Arabidopsis thaliana: one gene and its partners. The protein of the gene in region 1 interacts with the protein of each later gene in a pairwise test. Each region holds a gene or a part of one and is shown in the gene's direction. Other genes may lie near its edges.

Region 1 (4,796 bases):
GTTCTCCCATAGTCTTTGGAAAAAAAGGGTAACCTATTCTCGTACTTTGTTGTCTAGTGTAAACTCTAGTTAAAGCTGTCACATTTGAACCTGAATTAGTAATATTAAGGAAAAGGAACTCAATGGTTTGTGTGTTGTTATATATTGGATTCAAGCTTTGATTCATTGAATGGAATTTTAGTGTTTGGTTTACGACCTCTGTTAGTTAATAATCATAGACACCATTTCCTTCTTTAGATGGGTTAGTTTGGTTCTAATCAGGGAAAGCCATTAATTTTTCCATCTAATCATTGTAGAAACCTTGCAATATTGTGTATATGTAAACATACACAATCGTAAATGTTTGGATATCAAACTCTTCACAAGTGTTTGTAGGAGAGGAAGTATAGGTGAGAAAAGATTAGGGTCAGTCACAGATTCTGCAAAAAGTAAGAGAACCATGAAAGTAAAATAAAACATAAACCCAGAAATAGAAACCATTCCCTTCAATTAAGCAAATGAGTTCTCTTTCCTTTTCTCTTCTTATGTGTATATATAGAAATGAATAGCTTAAATTTTCCCACAAAAGCCAAAGAGACCCAAATTATTGTTTTATTTTGTTTTTGTTACCTCGCTTATATCTATTATCATGGAAAACATAAGTGGGTTGGCTTTTGATATGGGAGAGCTAAGAAACAACCTTCCCAAAAAGTAAAATCCTGAAAAAGGATTTCATTGATTATGATTGTTTGTTTAAGTTATGGAAATCCGGATTACTATCTAATTTTGGATTTTGTGAATGGTTGTAAAATAGGAGAGGATTATCAAGGTACTATTCAGGAAAAGCGAGATCATTCATATGTATCTCAGATGTAAAATGCCTTGAGGATCTGAAGAAACCAACCCAAACTTTTGATGACGATGATGATGATGAGGCTTACAAGAAGAGGAAGAAGAAGAACAAGCAATCATCTTCATCTTCATTTTCTGCAGCTATTAACAGCAATGTGAATTTCTCAAACTACCCTTGTCGAAGGGTCTCTAGTAGCACCCACTGTTCCTCACCTTGTGTTGCTTAGGAAAAAAGAAGCTTACACTTTCTCAATTTATTTAGTAGCTCCTTTGGTTTTTATTCTCAACCCAACACTGAAAACACAAACTTCAGTTCAGTGTGTGGGGGCGTCATTCATATCCAATTTTTGATTTTCTTTACTGTTTTTATGTCTTTTTTTTGTGGTTATCTTTTTTTCTTGCGCAAATTATGTAGATTTGGATGTGTTTGTTCCAATTTGCTTATTGGGACAAAAATGTTGGAAATCCTTTCGAATGTAATCATACGTACGCATAGAATTGAATAATAAGTGAATAAATATAGAATTGAAAGGTTCTTAAAATATTCCTTAGCATTTCCTATTTATCTGAAAACATGCAACACACAAAGACAAAGTCAGGACAAGTCATAATGAGTAATTGCTTACGTGGCTAATTTTACATGATTCACGACAAAAGGGAGCGGCCTAGAGGCGCGTATCACACACGCGCTTCCACTTAAAAGCTGACGTGGTCAATTGGCTATCTGACATTCTATTTACCCATTTTCTCCCTTTCTTTCCTCTATATTCACGATCCTGCCATTGTACACCCAATCATACGCTCCTGAGATCCTCATGACTTGTTCTTACCGTACTCCGCGAGACATGCGATTGATGATTCTTGACTGTATTCATTGAGAAAAACTGTTCGCAAAAACCTTGAGCTTCATCATCGTCCATTACTCACCTTTCAGTTTCAGATGCCCAAGCAAAAAGCTCCAAGGAAGCAGCTCAAGTCCTATAAACTCAAACACATCAACAAGAGTATTCAAGGTACGTCTGACTTGTTCATCCTCAATTTGAAATTCGTGGATATTGAAAGTGAATCGTTCGATGTTGTTTTGTGGTTAAAAAGAGGGAGATGCTGTGTTGATGCGGTCGTCGGAGCCTGGAAAACCGTCGTACGTAGCGAGGGTAGAGGCGATCGAGACGGACGCGCGTGGATCGCACGCGAAAGTTCGTGTGAGGTGGTATTATCGCCCTGAGGAATCTATCGGAGGGAGGAGACAATTCCATGGAGCCAAGGAGGTTTTTCTCTCTGACCACTTCGATTTTCAAAGCGCCGATACGATTGAAGGAAAGTGTAAGGTTCACAGTTTCAGTAGCTACACCAAACTTGACTCTGTTGGAAACGACGACTTCTTCTGTCGTTTCGAGTACAATTCCACTACCGGCGCGTTTGATCCTGACAGAGTCACCGTGTATGTGTTCCTACGACTCTCTGTTACTTTATTCGAGAAGAAAATACTGATTGAATGATGGAACTATTATCGGTTGAATTGAGGCTTTTTTGGAAATTAGATTGTGTTGCTTTAGTGTAGGCATTGATTGTTAATAATTCATTGATTTGTCATCTAAATTGGTTTCATGAAGTTGTTTTTGCAAAGAGAAGTAATCAATTGAGTTTAAATTGATTTTTTCTGTTTGCAGGTTCTGCAAGTGTGAGATGCCGTATAACCCAGATGACTTGATGGTGCAATGCGAGGAGTGTTCTGAGTGGTAAGTGTTCACTTATTTGAAACTCTGTTTTAATCTTCTTGAGTCACAATCTGGAATTGCTCGTATGTTTTTCGTGTATCCATGAGGTCCTAGTTGATATGCTATTGAGGTTGCTTGAGATGAATGCTTTTGTCATGCTTTACTTCGGTGATGCTCTTCCTTACTCATGTTCATGTTTTGTCTTATCTGATATTGTGGAAACTGCAGATGAATAGGAACATAAGCTGATACTCTAGTCTGAACGTTTGTAATATCTGTGATTAACATTCTAATGTATATGTTGCGGATTTTCAAATTTTCTTACACGTTACTGATTGAGTCGCTGTTAAGGTTTGGGTTTTTCTGCAGCTTCTTAGTTTGTGCCTTGGGTCTTTCACCCATGTTAGCTTGCTATATGACACAAGTAACGTAAATGAAGTCATACTGAAACAAATAGTGATCGTTTGATCTTGGAAGTTGGAACTGTTAAGTGTTAAGCTTAATCTTTTTACTTTTTTTTTTGTAAAGAGAGGATTAAGGTTTTTTGTTTCGAATGTCTTTGTCAGTTGCCTTTGATGTTACAGCAAACTAACATTGGCTCAGGTTTCATCCTTCTTGTATAGGAACAACAATAGAGGAAGCTAAAAAGCCAGATAACTTCTACTGCGAAGAGTGTTCCCCACAACAGCAGAATTTGCACAACTCTAATTCAACTTCCAATAACAGAGATGCTAAGGTATTTCTCTATTTCTCATTTCAGAAAATATCTTTAGTTTTTGAGGGATGGTCAAACCCGTTGCAAATAGGCTTGAATAAATTTAAGGTATTTAAGTTGACCGTTCGTTCCACATATAAAGCTAGCCTTGCCAACAATTGTAAGCTCTTGGACTGATAAAATATACCAACTTAAGGCAGAATAAACACATAAACCCAAAGTATATGTGTCATTAAGGTCAAAGACAACCTTGTGAAATGTTTTGTCCTAACTAACAGGTGAATGGAAAGCGCAGCCTGGAGGTAACTAAATCGAAGAACAAACACACTAAGCGACCAGGTTAACATAAACTTGTAAAGGCTATAGATATCTGGTTGGTGAGTCTGAGTATCAATCGTGTAATCTACAAAGGTGGTTTTGTTTTCTTTCCCTCTCTAGTTTTTTCTTTCTTAAAAAATGAGGGTTTAGGTTTGTTGGCTTGATTGTTGTATAATTTATATGTATAGCGTATGGTGGTTTCTCATCTCCTTTAGTTGTCACATATAAAATTTGGGTAAAATGGTTTGTTTATAATAAGAAAACAAAACAAACAAACAAACAAAGAGAGTGTTGGTTCCTTATTTGTTTGTTTTCATTGTGAACTCTAGAAACCCTTCATTCTTTATTAGTTTTTCATTCTTTATTAATTCTAAAACGCATATTCAAAGAGACATATTTGATCATCGTGTCTTCATAATTTGGTTCAAAGTACAGCCAAAAACCAGGAGGTACACTAAAAATCAATAAAATTACATTACAAATTATTTTTAGTACACTGGGAACATAAATAAATGAATCAGAGAAGAGAAACATGGCAACTACCGATCATGAGCTTCTACATTTGTCTCAGAAAAAGAGGAAGATAGAACTATTTTTTAAAGTTTTTAGAAAAGAGAGAATTAATATTATCCAAGACAACACGGCACTGCTAACAACAAGTTGAACCTATCCCATTCCATTACTCCATACCCATTCAATGATTAACACGTGGTTCTACATCATTGGTTAACTCTCTCCTTTCCCCTTGGATAAGGCATCTTAAAATAATAATAAATACCATAAATATCTTCCGATTTTTTCTCCGACTATAATAATGATGACAACAATATCTTTTAAAATTATCTTAAAAGAAACCGAAAGCTAATCTCCAAAGGGAAAAAGACGTGTAGCAGAGACCTATACATACACCTATACATTCACGTTGCGTGTGATAATCTACTGAGGGTTCTATCTATATTAATCCTTCTCTGCTTCCTTCAATCTAATTGCAAATCAAATGGATCGTCTTAAGCTTTATTTCTCCGTTTTCGTTTTGTCTTTCTTTATCGTCTCGGTTTCGTCGTCTGATGTCAACGACGGCGATGATCTCGTGATCCGTCAGGTGGTTGGTGGAGCCGAGCCTCAGGTTTTGACCTCAGAGGATCACTTTTCTCTCTTCAAGCGGAAGTTCGGGAAGGTCTACGCTTCCAACGAGGAGCATGACTATAGATTCT
Region 2 (4,399 bases), on another chromosome or scaffold:
GATTGAGCAGTCAAAAACAAAATTGGATTTAAAAGATTACAAGAAGTGGATTTGGCATTTGGAGGAACGTTAGGATAAGGAAGGAGGTCTTTGGTGAGTTGCAATTTCTTGTCAACATCAACCTTAGTACCAATTTCCACTTTCATTACTTGAAGAAATTCACTTTCCGACAGAACAGCCTCACTTGTTCGACTTCTCTAAGATTCCCTCTACACCCGTATAACTCCAACACCTTCAACGTATTTCCATCAATGCTATACCCACAAGTACTTACACACTGAAAACCCTGAAACAACGGATAGAAAAGAAAAGAACACACAGTAAGTGAAACTCCGAGATTAAATTTATAATTGAGAAAGAGAAAAAGAGATCATATTATACATACAAACCTTGAGGATCAAAGTTTCTAGATTGGGAGAGCTTTTTATCAGAGTCCAAAGAACTTTCCAACCTTTTTTCGTCTTAGACTCAAACGATAGTTTAACAAGGTTTTTAAACAAGGGAAATTCATTACTACGCCAATAATCGAAGCAATGACGCATCATCTACAACACACAAGCAAACTGGTCATGAATGAAACACAAACAAATTGGTCAAGCATGAATGTAACAAGATACATGGAGAAGAGAGAGACATCATACTTTAACGGTAGTAGAAGCAAGGTCAAGAATGTTTTTCATATTCCTCATATTCATAGGGACAAAACTCATAAGGCATAGAAAGATCGATGCGGGCTTCTCGAAGGGAATCCATTGTGATGGACCAGTAATAGTCTTATTTCTTTGATTTTTTTGGAATACTATGACTTAAACAGTATTAGTATAAGCAAAACTTACATGGCGAGCATATATGAATATCTTGAAGCATCCACCGATGCAAGACTTAAGTTTTCATCCTTGTGAAGAAGTGCAACAACCTTAATAAAGGACTTAGCCACAAAATTACCTAGCATACACCCCGGTTCAGAAAATATGATAAGAAAGTTTTGCTCTCATCGTCAAGAATATATCAAACAACCATTTCACTTGTTCCAATTATGTATATTATTCTTTATAGTCTATACCATAACTATTTCATTAACGCTAACACCGCAATTTCTTATTAATTAAAAACCTTGAAAAAAATAGAGAAAACTATTCATATATAAAATTATAAGATAAAAATTTACAATTGAAAGATATTATATATGTATATAAAATTATGAAAATCAATATGGCGAAAAATTCTTAAATCGGAAACAGAAAATTATGTTAAACCATAAGACATAATTTATTAAATTTTGTATTTTATAGATTCAGATTTATGTAATATTACATTGTTGGTCAAACCAGAACACTTTGGTTTAGCTTGTCAAATAAAGAACTTGAGCCTCCAATGAGGCGGACCGACTGTTGGGCTTGGCGTTGGGGTGGCTCAGTTGACGAAATTGACGTTTACTGTGTTTGTATTGAGCCCACCAACATATATTTTTTTTCAATTGAAAGATATCTATTTTTGTAATTACGTTTGTATAGTATAGTTAATACTGTATTAATTTTTATATCAATCCCTAGTAAATTAAATAAGTAAAATTTAGTTAAGAAATTTAGTAACAATTAAAAGGCTTTAATGGTTGTAAATTTATTAGTATCACTTACAATGTTTAAACCTTTTAAGACATACCAGTAATTTTGAATTTGTCAAAGGTCAAAAAAACAAAAGAGCCGATAAAGAAGAGTCTCAAAGGAAGAATCCCAAATTACACTCCAGGTGATGCGCACATCAGTTTTCGTGCGCACACGCGGCGGTGCACATTAGCCCCAACCAATCAAAATCATATATCCCGTTCTCCGGCGACTCTTCGTCGTGAGCTTCCGTCATGGCCACATGGAACGCATCCTCCCCTGCGGCGTCTCCTTGCTCATCGAGGCGACGAACGAAAGCTCCAGCGAGACGCCCTTCCTCCGAATCTCCACCACCGAGGAAGATGAAATCAATGGCTGAGATAATGGCGAAATCTGTCCCTGTGGTTGAACAAGAAGAAGAAGAAGACGAAGACAGCTACAGTAACGTCACCTGCGAGAAATGTGGTTCTGGAGAAGGAGACGATGAGCTTCTTCTCTGTGACAAATGCGATAGAGGCTTTCACATGAAATGCCTTAGACCCATTGTTGTTCGTGTCCCCATTGGAACTTGGCTTTGTGTCGATTGTTCCGACCAACGACCTGTAAGAAGTATGGATTTTTTGTTTCTTCGCTTTTAAATTTCCTAATTTTCTTGTGTTCTTTGTTTAATAAAAAAATGGATTTTTCTCTTGTCCGGTGAAATGTTTAGGGTTATCTCAGAAGAAGATTTTACATTTCTTTCGGATTGAGAAGCATACTCATCAAACAGACAAATTGGAATTGAGTCAAGGTGCGATTTTTGTTTTTGGATTTCATGATATGATCATAAAGTTCTTGAGTTGATGAATCTGACGAGATGTTTCACTTGATTAAATAGTTAGATGAATATGAAATAGCTTAACTTTGGCCTATTATATGCTTGAAATTTTGTTGCACCTTATGTAGGGTTAATAAGCATTGATGAGAACTTATACATATCATATACATAGATCATAGATGCTTCAGGATTAAACTAATAACAAGTGTTTGAGATTGAGATTTCTTTGTTTTGAAGAAGAAACTAGAAAGCGGAGACGATCTTGCTCTTTGACAGTGAAGAAAAGAAGGAGAAAACTCTTACCTTTGGTTCCATCAGAAGATCCTGATCAGAGGCTTGCACAAATGGGAACACTTGCTTCTGCATTAACGGCATTGGGTATCAAATACAGCGATGGTTTAAATTATGTTCCCGGAATGGCTCCTCGGTCTGCAAATCAATCCAAGTTAGAGAAAGGTGGGATGCAGGTAATAAACAAAAACAATCTTTCAGCCATTTATCCATAACTCTCTTATTTTAAGTTACTTCCTTGATTGTTTATCTCGGTTTTTACTTTTCGCAGGTGCTATGCAAAGAAGATTTAGAGACATTGGAACAATGTCAATCTATGTATAGACGAGGAGAATGCCCTCCTCTCGTTGTGGTATTTGATCCGCTTGAAGGGTATCTCTCTCTATTCCTTCGATCAACCTTCCCATAATGACAAAGTGGAGTTGTAAACATGTTCTTTGGTTATTCCGTTTGTACAGTTACACAGTTGAAGCAGATGGTCCTATTAAGGACTTAACATTCATAGCTGAATATACAGGGGATGTTGATTACTTGAAAAACCGAGAAAAAGACGATTGTGACAGCATCATGACTCTCCTTTTATCAGAAGATCCTTCAAAGACTCTTGTTATCTGTCCAGACAAGTTTGGAAACATATCTCGCTTCATTAATGGCATTAACAATCACAATCCGTAAGCAACAAATTCAAAATTGTTTTCCCCCCACTAAACTGGTTTATAACATTGAATCATCACATCACACTGATTGTTGCAGGGTTGCTAAGAAGAAGCAGAACTGCAAATGCGTGAGGTATAGCATAAACGGCGAATGTCGAGTTCTTCTAGTGGCTACACGCGATATATCGAAAGGGGAAAGGCTCTATTATGACTACAATGGTTATGAACATGAGTATCCTACTCATCACTTCCTCTGATCTTTCAATTCTAACAGTTCTACAGAGTCTCTAGATCAGATGTTCTTTTTGTTGCCATATTACAGGTCAATTATAAATGTAGGGCTGCTGAATATATGGCCTTTAATTATGAAGTTAGCGGTAGAATAATTGGATTTGGAATGACATTACAGAGATTAAGATGTGGCAAATGTCAATTGCTGAACTTTTGTTTGATATCAAATGAAATCCTAACCTTTTTCTTATATGTTCTTGGAGACAACTTCACCACCTTAAGTGGTTGCCAAATAAGTTATAATTTCTTTTATACTCTTCTTCATAAATTTATCAAAATGAAGAACTAATCCAATACAGTCATTACCTAAACAGAAAAGTATAATTACAGTACTTGCCTAGTGTCGTACTTCTTATTTCCAGTCACCGAAATGTATTAACGCCAAAAGAGATTCATCTGTTATGCATAATAATCGCATGCTATGAATTAAATGAACACATCCAAAAAGGATGAAGTCACAATTGTACTACAGTTTCAGTATTGAGAGGAAAGCTTTTTTCACTTTGACCACTTTGATTGAATCATATCTTTGAAATTTTAAGTGGTGCTTTGCTACATATTCAACGGCTCAACAAGACAGAGAGAAAAATATTACGAGAGGAGATAGAGAGTGAGAGAGACGAGCAAGTTGAAGGAGCAAAACTTGTAGGTGAGAGCTTGAATCAGAACATTTCAAAGGAGAGAGATGGCAAGTAACCCTGATTTTCTTTGGTGCAAAGAAGAGAGGAAGCAGGAAAGCT
Region 3 (4,348 bases), on another chromosome or scaffold:
ACCAAGATGGAATGAGCAATATACTTGGGAGGTTTTTGATCCGTGCACCGTTGTTACTGTTGGAGTTTTTGATAACTGCCATCTCCATGGAGGTGAGAAGATTGGAGGAGCAAAAGATTCAAGAATCGGGAAGGTAAGAATCAGGCTTTCTACTCTCGAGACTGATCGAGTTTATACACATTCATACCCTCTTTTGGTGCTCCATCCTAACGGAGTCAAGAAAATGGGAGAAATTCACTTAGCTGTGAGATTCACTTGCTCTTCATTGCTCAACATGATGTATATGTACTCACAGCCTCTCTTACCGAAGATGCATTATATCCATCCACTGACGGTTAGCCAGCTTGATAACTTGAGGCATCAAGCGACTCAGATTGTATCGATGAGGCTGACCCGAGCAGAACCACCTCTAAGGAAAGAAGTAGTTGAGTATATGCTTGATGTGGGTTCTCACATGTGGAGTATGCGGAGAAGCAAAGCAAACTTTTTCAGGATTATGGGAGTTTTGAGTGGGTTAATCGCAGTAGGAAAATGGTTTGAACAAATCTGCAACTGGAAGAATCCAATCACAACAGTCTTGATCCATCTCTTGTTCATCATCCTTGTGCTCTATCCCGAACTAATCTTGCCCACCATCTTCCTCTACCTCTTCCTCATCGGTATCTGGTACTACCGTTGGAGACCGAGGCATCCTCCTCACATGGACACACGTCTCTCTCACGCTGACTCAGCCCACCCCGACGAGCTAGATGAAGAGTTCGACACTTTTCCTACTTCCCGACCATCTGACATAGTCAGGATGAGGTATGACAGGTTGAGGAGTATTGCTGGTAGGATTCAGACAGTGGTAGGTGATCTAGCAACTCAAGGAGAAAGGCTTCAGTCTCTGCTAAGCTGGCGTGATCCGCGTGCAACAGCGCTCTTCGTCTTGTTCTGCTTGATTGCCGCAGTCATTCTCTATGTGACACCTTTCCAGGTTGTGGCTCTTTGTATTGGAATCTATGCTCTGAGACATCCGAGGTTCAGATACAAACTACCATCCGTTCCTCTCAATTTCTTCAGAAGGCTTCCTGCAAGAACTGATTGCATGCTCTGACCTGCAAAAACTGCTTCCAATACCGAAGAAAACTTCTATAAGACTTGTAGTTTGTTCTTGTTAAAAATATCATGATGACTCTTTTTAGTTTGTTCATTGTTAAAAATGTCATGATGACTCTTTTCTTGGTGATGGTGATGATGTATCCGTCTGTCTTTTAACATTATTAAGACTTTTGTTTGAAAGTAGTAAAGAAGTATCTTGTGTGGTTTTGATGTTCTTGTCACTGGTTAGTAAGTCATAATCTATGCCTCTCTGGTTTTTGTGTTTTATCACTGGAGCTTTAGGAGTTTGGTGCCATTGGGTTGGTTGCTGTTGAGATTAGAGGTTGTCACAGTTTGGTCTAATGGTCAAATACAAGTTTCAAGAAAAAACCATTTTTCTAATACATCCAAAGTTGGTTATAACCAAAAAAACTATCATATTGGGAATATATGTTCGCTAAATAACATTCTTACACAAAAATTCATTGAAAGCTTTGATATTTTATTTTTTTTCCGACCATTCTGTTTGACAAATGTTTGCCAGGTGAGATACTTTTATTCTAGAAAGACCAACCATTAAGAAGAAGAGGGGAATAATTAAAGCAAGCTTAAGAGTTAAGAACACAAAGTAAATGGGCCCAGATATGGTAATGGGCCACGTGACAAATGGGATGATACGTTATGGCAGAGAAAGAATCTTTTGGTAGCTTTTTTGGGTATCATCGCGTAGGTTTCACGCCACATTTATCCATTGACTTTTTCATTACGTCTTTTCATTTATTTTATGATATAGTAGATAATAATTATACCTGGTTAAAATTTAATAATTGACCGGTCAATAACCATTAAAGTGGAGGAAGTAGGACGAAAGGACATTTATTCGCCGCGAAATCTGGACCGTACGATACTCCGATTACCCTTCTAAAGCTTTAACATAGGGGTACATCTGTAACTTCACATTCCATCTTCCCCCAATCTCCTATTTGTGTCTTCTTCGAGTTTATATATAGAGAGATAGAGATTGGAGAGCGAGCGAGACAAATCAGAAGAGAGAGATTTAGATATTGTAGAGTGAGATTCTAAAGAGAGAGAGAGAGAGAGATATGGCTAGTGGAATCGCTCGTGGTCGTTTAGCTGAAGAGAGGAAATCGTGGAGGAAGAATCATCCTCATGTAAGTGATTTCGTGTCTTCTATTTCTCCAAATTCGTGATTTTGATTTATGGGTTTTGGGTTTCTGTTGATTGTTCATGGTCTCTGATTACTGATTGGGTTTCTTCTTGTTGATGGTGAAATTTAGGGTTTTGTGGCAAAGCCGGAGACGGGGCAGGATGGAACTGTGAATCTAATGGTGTGGCATTGCACTATACCTGGTAAAGCTGGGGTAAGTATCAATCGTGAAATTAGGTTTCTTCAGTTTTCTTATTCCTCTGCTTGTTTTCTTCTGGTTTGTATTAGTAGCAACAAAAAAGAGATTGAAATTAGGGTTTATTGATTTGGGCTAAAGTCTTTGTTTTTATCATCTTCTGATTCTTAGTTCTTCAAAGTTTTAAGCTTCACCAGTCTCTTCCCTTCTTTTTCTTTGTGATTCTGTTTGATGATTCTCTCATATTTGCTTACACATAGAGCCGTGGAAGATTATCTAATATGAATGTTAGTGGGAAGAGTAGCTGTGTATCTATCTCCTTGTTTATCTTGTATGATGTTTTTTTATTGGTGCATATGATTTTGGTCTTGAATACGACATTGAAACTGAACTCTGCTGTGTATCTTACTTTGACATGGCTAATAAGAGTGTTACTGCAAGAGCAATTGCTAATATCAATCTTTACTGTTGTTTATAGCTAATTTTACATGTTTCTCTGCTGCAGACTGATTGGGAAGGTGGATTCTTTCCATTAACGATGCACTTCAGTGAGGATTATCCGAGCAAACCTCCGAAATGTAAATTTCCACAAGGGTTTTTCCACCCTAATGTCTATCCATCTGGAACTGTCTGTCTCTCTATCCTTAACGAGGATTATGTAAGTACTCTACTGTTTCTTTCTTTGCATTTCTCCATGAGCAAAAGCCAGCTTTATCCTCAAGCTCTCTTTTGTTATGTGTATATCCATAGGGATGGAGACCAGCCATCACCGTGAAGCAGATTCTTGTTGGTATTCAGGATTTACTTGACACACCGAATCCCGCTGACCCTGCACAGACAGATGGTTATCATCTCTTCTGTCAGGTACATTTAGAAATGAAAACTCTAAACACAATATTAGGTTTTGAAACATAGGAAGGAACTAAGTCGAGTGATTGTTGATGATTATTGTGCAGGATCCAGTTGAGTACAAGAAAAGGGTGAAGCTGCAGTCCAAGCAGTATCCTGCTCTTGTCTAAAACCTCAAAAAAGAGAACGCACCAAAACTGATGACAAGCTCTGAATATTTTCTCGTCTTGTGTCATTATGTTTAGATGTCATTGGGTGATTGAAAACTCCTCATTTTGGCACCTTAAGACACTGGAATCTATTTATTTTCGAAAAAAAACTCTTCTTTCTCTATTTAACTGTTAATATTCTTGGTACTGATTCAGTTGGTGTTGCTTCTATATAATACATAATTATGTTCTCTGGTCGTTCATGAGTGTTGTCCAAATTCTACTAAGTGAAATATGAAGTCTTCATTCCATAGAGTAACGAATCTTAGTTGTGAATCTAGAAATACATATATTTCTAACTTGAAACTACGCTTAACACTTGAAAGTCAAAATCTTACTCCTCTAAAATTTATACTCCACTGATTTTAGACTTTTGAAGTAGTATTAGTGCTTGTTAGTAAATTGTTTGCTACTTGGAACATTTTTTGTCAATGATTGAGATAGAAAGCTTGGAATATTTAACAGAACTTGGAATTTAGCTACGAAATCAAGTGTGCAGAAAGAGATAGGCAAACACCGTATGTCAACAGTTACAAAGCAATAAAACCAAACATTCAATACTTATATACAACTCAATTATTGAAAGTCAACAACAAGCCAAAATCGTCTACAAGTGATGACACTTCAGATATGAAATGTGTGAACTATTATAATCTTTCCTATGATATCATCATCAGCAGATGATTCCTGATCTATTCTATCATCAGAACAATGATTTTCCAAAACGAGTATCCTATAAAATCGTCAAAAGATGATTGACGCTTCTAATAAAATCATCAGAAAATGATACAAGTCTAAGAAACCACCGAACTTGTGAAGATATGTCATTAGAGGATGACCTGTAGA

The links.
Region 2: the proteins of SHL1 (region 1) and ATXR5 interact in binary tests that used the Arabidopsis thaliana proteins (3 or more experiments, as listed by UniProt).
Region 3: the proteins of SHL1 (region 1) and SCE1 interact in a two-hybrid assay, tested with the Arabidopsis thaliana proteins (one study listed by BioGRID).

Annotation. Positions count from the first base shown.
Region 1 is NC_003075.7:18,217,110-18,221,905, reverse strand, and holds SHL1 (PHD finger family protein / bromo-adjacent homology (BAH) domain-containing protein), read left to right. Parts: upstream 1-1,581; 5' UTR 1,582-1,771; coding exon 1,772-1,844; intron 1,845-1,926; coding exon 1,927-2,272; intron 2,273-2,501; coding exon 2,502-2,570; intron 2,571-3,152; coding exon 3,153-3,285; intron 3,286-3,542; coding exon 3,543-3,608; 3' UTR 3,609-4,277; downstream 4,278-4,796. Other genes in the region: RD19 (Papain family cysteine protease), read left to right, coding at 4,580-4,796. UniProt on the Arabidopsis thaliana protein: Chromatin remodeling factor that binds to methylated histone (e.g. H3K4me2/3) to prevent their acetylation (e.g. H3K9K14Ac), likely by recruiting histone deacetylase (HDAC) complexes, and thus regulate the transcription of target genes.
Region 2 is NC_003076.8:3,038,430-3,042,828, reverse strand, and holds ATXR5 (TRITHORAX-RELATED PROTEIN 5), read left to right. Parts: upstream 1-1,667; 5' UTR 1,668-1,858; coding exon 1,859-2,213; intron 2,214-2,313; coding exon 2,314-2,394; intron 2,395-2,658; coding exon 2,659-2,888; intron 2,889-2,983; coding exon 2,984-3,084; intron 3,085-3,170; coding exon 3,171-3,383; intron 3,384-3,465; coding exon 3,466-3,625; 3' UTR 3,626-3,849; downstream 3,850-4,399. Other genes in the region: AT5G09780 (Transcriptional factor B3 family protein), read left to right, coding at 4,345-4,399. UniProt on the Arabidopsis thaliana protein: Histone methyltransferase that specifically monomethylates 'Lys-27' of histone H3 (H3K27me1). Has much higher activity on nucleosomes containing H3.1 than H3.3.
Region 3 is NC_003074.8:21,427,946-21,432,293, reverse strand, and holds SCE1 (sumo conjugation enzyme 1), read left to right. Parts: upstream 1-1,895; 5' UTR 1,896-2,183; coding exon 2,184-2,252; intron 2,253-2,378; coding exon 2,379-2,462; intron 2,463-2,949; coding exon 2,950-3,102; intron 3,103-3,194; coding exon 3,195-3,308; intron 3,309-3,400; coding exon 3,401-3,463; 3' UTR 3,464-3,798; downstream 3,799-4,348. Other genes in the region: AT3G57880 (Calcium-dependent lipid-binding (CaLB domain) plant phosphoribosyltransferase family protein), read left to right, coding at 1-1,096. UniProt on the Arabidopsis thaliana protein: SUMO-conjugating enzyme that accepts the SUMO proteins from the E1 SUMO-activating heterodimer SAE1/SAE2 and catalyzes its covalent attachment to other proteins with the E3 SUMO ligases SIZ1 and MMS21.